Solanum lycopersicum: one gene and its partner. Each later gene encodes a partner of the first gene's protein in a complex. Links are inferred from orthologs where the notes say so. Each region holds a gene or a part of one and is shown in the gene's direction. Other genes may lie near its edges.

The links.
Region 2: sister chromatid cohesion 1 protein 3 (region 1) and sister chromatid cohesion 1 protein 1 share a complex: the UniProt entries of both Arabidopsis thaliana proteins name them as parts of the cohesin complex. The link is inferred for Solanum lycopersicum from reciprocal best matches to the Arabidopsis thaliana genes SYN3 and SYN1.

The regions. Positions count from the first base shown.
Region 1 is NC_090800.1:77,424,340-77,428,488, reverse strand, and holds the end of sister chromatid cohesion 1 protein 3, read left to right. Parts: coding exon 1-55; intron 56-135; coding exon 136-509; intron 510-607; coding exon 608-719; intron 720-802; coding exon 803-939; intron 940-1,013; coding exon 1,014-1,498; intron 1,499-1,793; coding exon 1,794-1,833; intron 1,834-2,002; coding exon 2,003-2,075; intron 2,076-2,145; coding exon 2,146-2,278; intron 2,279-2,499; coding exon 2,500-2,601; 3' UTR 2,602-2,628; intron 2,629-3,146; 3' UTR 3,147-3,411; downstream 3,412-4,149. UniProt on the Arabidopsis thaliana protein: May be involved in sister chromatid cohesion during mitosis.
Region 2 is NC_090805.1:48,879,485-48,883,357, forward strand, and holds the end of sister chromatid cohesion 1 protein 1, read left to right. Parts: intron 1-72; coding exon 73-145; intron 146-333; coding exon 334-443; intron 444-797; coding exon 798-871; intron 872-957; coding exon 958-1,119; intron 1,120-1,313; coding exon 1,314-1,479; intron 1,480-1,556; coding exon 1,557-1,832; intron 1,833-1,923; coding exon 1,924-2,002; intron 2,003-2,206; coding exon 2,207-2,358; exon of another isoform or gene 2,359-2,369; intron 2,370-2,453; coding exon 2,454-2,538; intron 2,539-2,632; coding exon 2,633-2,745; intron 2,746-2,855; coding exon 2,856-2,938; 3' UTR 2,939-3,292; downstream 3,293-3,873. Other genes in the region: uncharacterized protein, read left to right, coding at 3,694-3,873. UniProt on the Arabidopsis thaliana protein: Involved in chromosome condensation, pairing and segregation during meiosis. Responsible for cohesion between replicated sister chromatids.

The DNA.
Region 1 (4,149 bases):
GTTTGTCAAAATCAGGTGAAGTTTCTGGATTAGGTTCCATGCCTATGGAGATAGAGTATGCATCTTATTGACTATAGATGTGGATTGTTTCTGTTTATTGCCATGTTTGTAATAGACATTTCTTTGATGATGCAGTTCTGATCCTTCAAATTTAGATGAAACTGCTGCTCAACCCCAACATTCTTCCCCTAAGAATCAGGAAGGACTAAACAAAAGAACTGTTGGTGATGACATCCCTCAAGATTTTCCAGATATTGAACTCATGCGTGACGCTGTCCATGATCACAGTTTTGAGAATGTTCCCTTGTGGTCTGACCGAGGGAATGATGTGATGGAACCAGATAGAGTTCTGGAGGAACAGATCATGAGAGACAAGGAAACTGCAAGTCCAGTTGTGAAAGAGATATTGGCCCCCGGAGGACATTCAATCCCATCTCAACAACGACAAGAACCACCATCAACTACTTCAGCGGATGCTCATGAATTTGCTGATCCACAGATATCATTTGGTGGGTGCTTGCATGCAGGTTCTTATTATTAAACTGAAATTACATATTTGCCATGTTAATATTCTAACATGAAACTTCTTCTTTTCTTGGATATTCAGGGCATCAGTCACCTGATTTAGCACTTCTTTCAACACCTCCTCTCGAGGTGCCAAAAATAAGAAGAAAGCGAAAGCTACTCATCTATGATAAGGACATAGTATTGCCAAATAAGTATGTTAATATTTTATCATCATTAACTATATATTTTCTTCAACCATTGGTATTTTGACAATGTATCATGTTCAACTCTACAGTGAGATGAAAAGGAGACTAAAGGGCATCGGTATAAAATCACGCGAAAAGAAGAAGGTTCCTTGTTTTTCTTTGGACATCTGGAAACAAAACCAGAGACTAAGAAAAGATGGAATTTTCTTTGAGCCTTTAATTACTGGTGGGTGTCTCACAGCCATTATCTAATGAGTCTAATGTTCTTCACCTAAAAATTCAACTTCTGTTAATCTGTAGGATTATGCGATGATCTTTGCAATATCTACAAAAAAGACTTCATTTCCGCAAAAGTCCAGATGGCTTCCCCACAGGAAGCCCCTCCATCTGGGAATGATCTTCCGGTGGAAATTGAAAGATTACGTGATAACCAAGACCTTGCAAGCACTAGTTTGCTGTCTGAGATTTTGCCTTCACCAAATAGGCCTATTTCCTCTCCACAGATGTCTATGCCTTCCCCAAGTAGGCTCATTTCTTCTCCACTGATGTCCATGCCTTCCACAAGCAGAAGAGATGACTTCAGTCCTGCTACTACAACTTTAGGGACAGAATCTAGTCAGATAGGAAGAACCATAGATAGTGGGGTGCAGCCCACGCCCGACCCAGCAGCATCTACTGGGCATGTTGGTTCTCATATGGAGACCCCTTCAACATGGTTTGGAGAAGGACTAGGTGTGGAGGATACTGTCTTATCTGATATTCCTGAGTTTGATAATTCTGCTGGGGTACGTTCGATCATGGTCACTTTCTATTAAATTGTGAATCTACTTTGATATTCATCTAGATAACTTTTTCAGCAGCTTTGTATCATCCGTAGTAGTCTCATTAACCCTTTCAACACATCTTTAATAAATTTTAGACTGAGATTTGTAAATGGCTTATATTTTAACATTCTTGTGGTTATTCTCATTCAATGCTTTATTACCTAGTGCACTGCTATGGTCAACTTGTCATCCTATATGACTATTCAACTAGTTCTTCCTTTCTTTGCATCTGATAAATCACTAAATGCCATTGCAGGATCTAAGTTTTCTAGAACAAGATGACGACACTCCTATTGGTACGCTAAGAACCTCTTCTTCTTTTTTTCCTTTTAGTTTGAGGGTTTGAATTGATTTGGATAATGTTGGTCAATTTTATCTACTAATGTCTGCAGCATTGCATTTCTGTTTTTGTTATTAATGATGTAATATATGCCTGAAGCTTGTATGTCCATATGCTAAAACCAGGACTTCGAGGAACTCCTTTATCAAGTAAGCAAAGGGGAACGCCAGAGTTTGACACATTATCTGCTAGGACAAGGTAACATTCCTTGAACATTCTTCTCATATATATTTACTTTCAGGATAGTCTTTTAACTCTATGATTGCAGAGCTGTGGCTCAATATTTGAAGGGGCAGTCACCAGTAACCCTCATCTCAGAAGAGACAGGAGATATCAGCTTAAATGCAATTTTAGAAGGCAAAAAGAAAAGAATATGCGCCCGGATGTTTTATGAGACTCTGGTAAGTCCTCTACAATATTTTCATGATTAATTGCTCTTACTTGGGGACACAAGTCATTTTTTTCAAATTGAACTTTTCGTGGATGTTTGAATTGAGTCAAGAAAGGTGTATATATAAGTTTCTCTGTTAGTTGTCTATGGTATGCTTATTGCTTAGTCCAATCATATTTGGTATATATATCATAAGATCCTTACCGTCATCCTTCTGGAAATTGAATACAGGTGTTGGAGAATTGTGGACTTGTACGTGCAAATCAACATGAACCTTATGGTGATATAACTCTGAAAGTGACTTCCAAACTGACGGAGAAATTTTCAAGCTGAGACCATTGTGTAGAACTATATATAAAGGTATAATTTGTCCTAGTTTTGACTGCACCCTTAATAAATTAAAGACATAGTCGTCTTATTAGCTTAGTTTTGACCTGTCAATGCAGAAAAGTTTAAGAGGTAGATTTATCCCAAAGCTTCAGTTAATATGTTATAAATGCAACCGAAAGGAAAAAAAAACGATGCTTTTCATATAGATGAAGACTTGTATCTTGATTCTTTTACTCATTTCATAGTGGGAAGAGTTGCAGGAAATTGTTTGATAACACCTTTTTCTTATTTATATCTCAATGATATCCGATGATCAAGACTCTAAAGCAGCAGCCCTGTGCATGCACACACATACATATATTATAGAATATTGCTTTGTTGACGCATCAGGGTGTGATTTTCCTTCTGTAAAATGCTGTTAAATACTGTGTAACAATGCAGAAGTTAATTTTTTTTTGGATTGTACTTTGAATAAGCTCTTCTATTTGATGTTTTTAGCACAAATATTTGTATGGTTATTTTCCTAACAAATCTCAATGTGATTGCAGTTAAAACATTTGTACAGAGATGCAGCGGTCATGAAGATGTATAATCCTGGCAGGCATTTTGTCTAAACTATTATGCATTACTAAGTGATTTAAGTTATACAGAACAAGGTGGAAGTGACATCCGTGATGAATATAATAATCGCAAAATATTTATCATTGTACAAAGATTATCCTGCTTATTGTGCATTTGAGCTGCTCAAGCTCTCTTTTTGTATAAGTAATAACTAAATGTTCAACATACTTTATTTCTAAAGACATAAAAATTTCAGCTGGATGCCTTTTGAGTTGCTGCTGCAAATTGAGCTTTGTATAAAGGCACTAATACTTCTCTATTAGGGAGATTTTCCTTAACAATTCTACAGCACAAGAACTCATCAATCCATTTGCTTAACTTGGGAAACTTTTGTTCAGTCAACAGTTCCATCCCTATTGCTTCTTGAATTGCTCCAAACCAGAGAGCTATGTAACTGGCAACGATGTCGACGAATCCAATGCTGTCTCCTCCAAAGAACTTCTTGTTTTGAAGCTCATTGTCGAGATATTTTAAGACCTCAAAAGTTTCATCACAACCTTTCTCCCTTTCTTCTCCTTTGCCATAACAAACTTTGTACATTGCTCCCATTAACTGATGACACATTCTTGTTAGTAGACAATAACATTAAATTAAATGTCAAACACTTGGTACTCTTTTTAGATCTAAAGGAATCTCTTCTAAGTTCAAACTTCATAGTATAGTAGTAGTAATATAGTTGTGTTTAGTAGGAAGGAAAAAAAGTTTCCTATAGGAAAATATTTTTTGAAAAATAACTGATATTCTTATCTTTTTAAAAAATTAGGGGTATGGGAAGTGGAAAATATTGGGAGGCGATCCATGAACCTAGTTCAGATAGCCAACCAACTGATCTACTAAGATTTCTCAAATGATTTTCTTATTCTTGACGAAACTTGTTTTTCTTACTCTTATTAAAAAACTTACCTTTTTTCTTTTGAGAATCAAACATAA
Region 2 (3,873 bases), on another chromosome or scaffold:
CAATGCTACTTTGTTTTCCAGTTTTGTCTTGTTGTGCCCATCTCTAAAACAATCCTGAAACCCTTGTTGCAGTTGATCCAGATAATATCACCCTCGCTGAACGCTTTGAATCCCATCATACAGATATGTTCAATCATTTTGAGAGGTATCACGATGAACAGTTTGTAGGCTCTGTATTTCTAAGTTTGTACGATCAGTTCGCATAAAAACTTCACGTGAACCAAACTATCCACCATTAAATCACAGGAGGCTAATTAGCCCCATTTTTAATTAACTGCAAAGCTTTCCTTCTATTATCCCCCTATTAATTTTTAAGCATGAATTGTTCTGCAGGTTTGATATTGAAGGGGATGAAGAAACACAAATGAATTATACCCAGCCAGAGGATGCTCAAATCCCAAGTACTCCTGTGCAATCTCCACCTCGAGAACAAGCCCATCAACGTAAGAACGTGTTACTATCTTCTACTTTAGATAAATGAAGTTTTTTGAGATGTAAATAGTAGATGGAGTTACGATATTTCATTATTTCACTTGGTTTTCTGATAGAGACATAATGGCAATAAACCCTTCCTCTCAAATAGGAACATGAATGCAAGTCGTACTTACCTACTATGAGATCAGTTAAAATACTTTGTAGCTACCTGGCTGCTTACCATTAAACTTCCGGTTTACATATGAAGTTCCTTCAAGCACAGAACTCTTTTGGATTGAGTTGAGCTTGTAAAAGTCTTTAGATTTCCTTAGGTAATTAATTATTTCTGAAAATTGGTTGAATGGAGCGAAACATTATTGCAGCTGATGAGATCCCTGACAGACATCCAGAGGACCAAGTGAAGCAACAATCTGATGAAGTTAAAGAAGCTTTTGAGGTAGAAACTCCACAAGCAACCAAGCTAGAAAATAATGTAAAGAAAAACTGTCAGCACTAATGTTACGTCTTGACATGATATTGTAGCAGCGGCAGGATCAACAAAGGCCAAAGCCAGCTCGACGAAGAACAAGAAAGGCCACAAGTCTTGCAATTGATCATGAGCAAACTATTATTTCTGGTGACATATATCAATCCTGGCTTCAGAGTTCTTCAGATATTGCATCAAGAAAAAGGAAAAAGAGAAAGGTACTTCCATACCTCCCAATCTAGATCTTCCCCATTTCAATTTTTCCATTGTGTGCACCGTATAACCTTTGATATCAATGGCTAGTCTTTGTGTATCCCAAGAATAGCATGTGCATCTCTCTCTGGAAGGTAACCTTAACTAAACTAACATGCAGCATCATTTATTAGTAACCTTAAGTTTCTATTCTGTGCAGACTTTGAGTGTCTTACCTTCTATGAAGATAGCCAGAATGATGGAAATGCCTCCTATTGCACTACTAGAAGGATTGTTCACAAATGGAAATAAGGAAGTTCACTATCCAGCACCACTCCTAAAATTATGGATGAGGAATACCCAACCTCCGCATGATTCACCTTCCGGTCTGGTTTTTCATCCATGATATTAGACTCTTAGTTGCCAAAACTATAAACAGGTGGTAATTACATTTGACTTGCAGGAAAAACCTCTCCACCCTTTCCTCCTGAACCATCCTATACATCTCCAGGTGAAAGGATGGGTAATTTGGAACCGCCTTTCGAATATTTCCAAGGCGGTGTAGGCTCCCCAGCAGTAGGAATCTCTATAGAAAAACAAAGGGCAAATCTCAACAATAACAAGATTCCACCTGAAATTCTCATGGAGGACCTCAGAACCAATCTTACAAATATGGGACTGCATCCAACAGAGACTAATGGAGTGAAAGAGACTGATCACATGGCCACACCTGGCTCTGGTATATCGATTTTTTTATGAATTTCCCAATCTCCATGATTTGTTCGGCAATCTGATATGGTGGTATAACTAACATTTTTGTGAATCTATAGGTGATGAGCCTAGATCCATTCCAAGCTCAGGATCTGGTCATGGTTTACTATCACAGAATTCTGTAACCGATTCAAGTCGGTTAGTACTACTAGTAGATATATGTTGAGGGATTTGTCTAAAGATGAACCACTTGAATCATACAGACAATGACAGAAGGAAATAATGAATATCATGGATTTCAGCACCATAGGGAACTTTAAAACTTTGCTTCTTTTTAAAATTATGAAGGTCTCACCATATAGCAGCATCTGGTTACATTGATCAAAATTGTTAACTCTTCAGGTCCAACAAGAAAAGACCCCATTCTTCATTGAAGCACAGTGGCAATGGTCTTCAACCAGTAGCAGAAGAGAACCCATGGCACGACCCCACTCTAAATTTCAAGTTGACTAGATTATCTGAACTATCTGAAAATGGTTTTACACAAGACAACGGTTCGTGAATAGTCAGTAACCTTCCCATTTTAGTTCTGGTCATTTTCTTTAATGTGGTTTAGTTTGTTATGAACCTCCCTTCACTATTTTGGCAGAGATATTGATGGAAACCGGACCAACACAAACCCAACATCCATTCATTACTCAACCTCTTGACATGATGACTGACTCTATCAGGATGTAAATCCTTTTCCATTTGTTCCTAAAACTTCTCCAGCTTCACTGTATATCATCTGATTAATTGATTTTTCACCTGATAAACTGATGTCTACAGACAGCTAAAGAGTCATTTTGACACTCCCGGATCGGCAGAAGCAGAATGTTTGAATGAACTAACTCTTGGAATGACAAAGAAACAAGCAGCATGTCTTTTTTATCAGACTTGTGGTATGCAAACTTCTTTCATATCTTTTCCTCTTGCATTGCAGCTCAGAGAAACTTCATAGTTTCCAGCTTCTCATTAGAGAGAATTAATGTTTGCTCCATTCTACGTGCAGTTCTGGCCACTCGAGACTTTGTTAAAGTCGAACAGGAGCTTCCATATGGAAACATCCTCATTTCCAGAGGTGCAAAGATGTAACAACGGATAAATCTAGTAGATGCTAAATCCTCACAAGTCTTATAGATTCATCTATTGTTATAGCTGATACAAATTTATTTTTCGGTTAAGGTATTGGAGAATTGAGGCACAGATTTATAGCTCAAATTTTCAGGAGAAAGTATTTTTATTGTTAACCTATCTAGTGTATAATCGTAGAAGCATAGTTATCTCCAAGAGAATATAGATAGAAGTATATGATTGGTCATTCTGAAACTAGCTAATTGTACTAGCATTTGGTGACAGCTAAAAACTATGGGCTTCCTTTGTTTGATCTTTATAAAAACGGGTCAGGTAACTTAAAGTTTCTGTACGAATTGACCTATTTCTTATTGATCTCTATTTTGTGAAATAAATTTAACTTCTATTTCTTGCCTGGAATCAATTTTATAATAATTAAATTTTCTTACATCAATCACATAGTATATAATTCATTCAATACAAGTTCTAAAAAAAATTGGACAAGTTAGGTCTTTTGTGTAATATTAGAATACAAAATTCTGTCTTGCTATTTCCATTTTTCTTTTTTAATATTAAGGATATTTTTCTTACCAAAAATTAAAAAACCACCCAAAAATAGGCATTCGTGCCAATGACCCACGCCACTTCCGCCCGGTCCAAAATCAAATGCCCTACATTATCTTATCTTTGAATATCTAGAGTCTAGTCTCCTTCTCGCATTCGCAAGAAAATTACTGCCGTAGAAGTTAAAGGCTCTCATTGTTTCCGACGGCGACATGGCAATGACGATGACCACTGCAATGGCATCGCCGTCGCGGCGGCTGCTTATCAACTCTCGACATAGCACCATCTGCACTATCCCCAAGAATGTGGCAATTTACCCAGCAGCAGCAGTTACAAATCAGGGGTTATTGAAGCACTGTATATCCTCGCAAAGATGCCTAAGATCTCTGGTA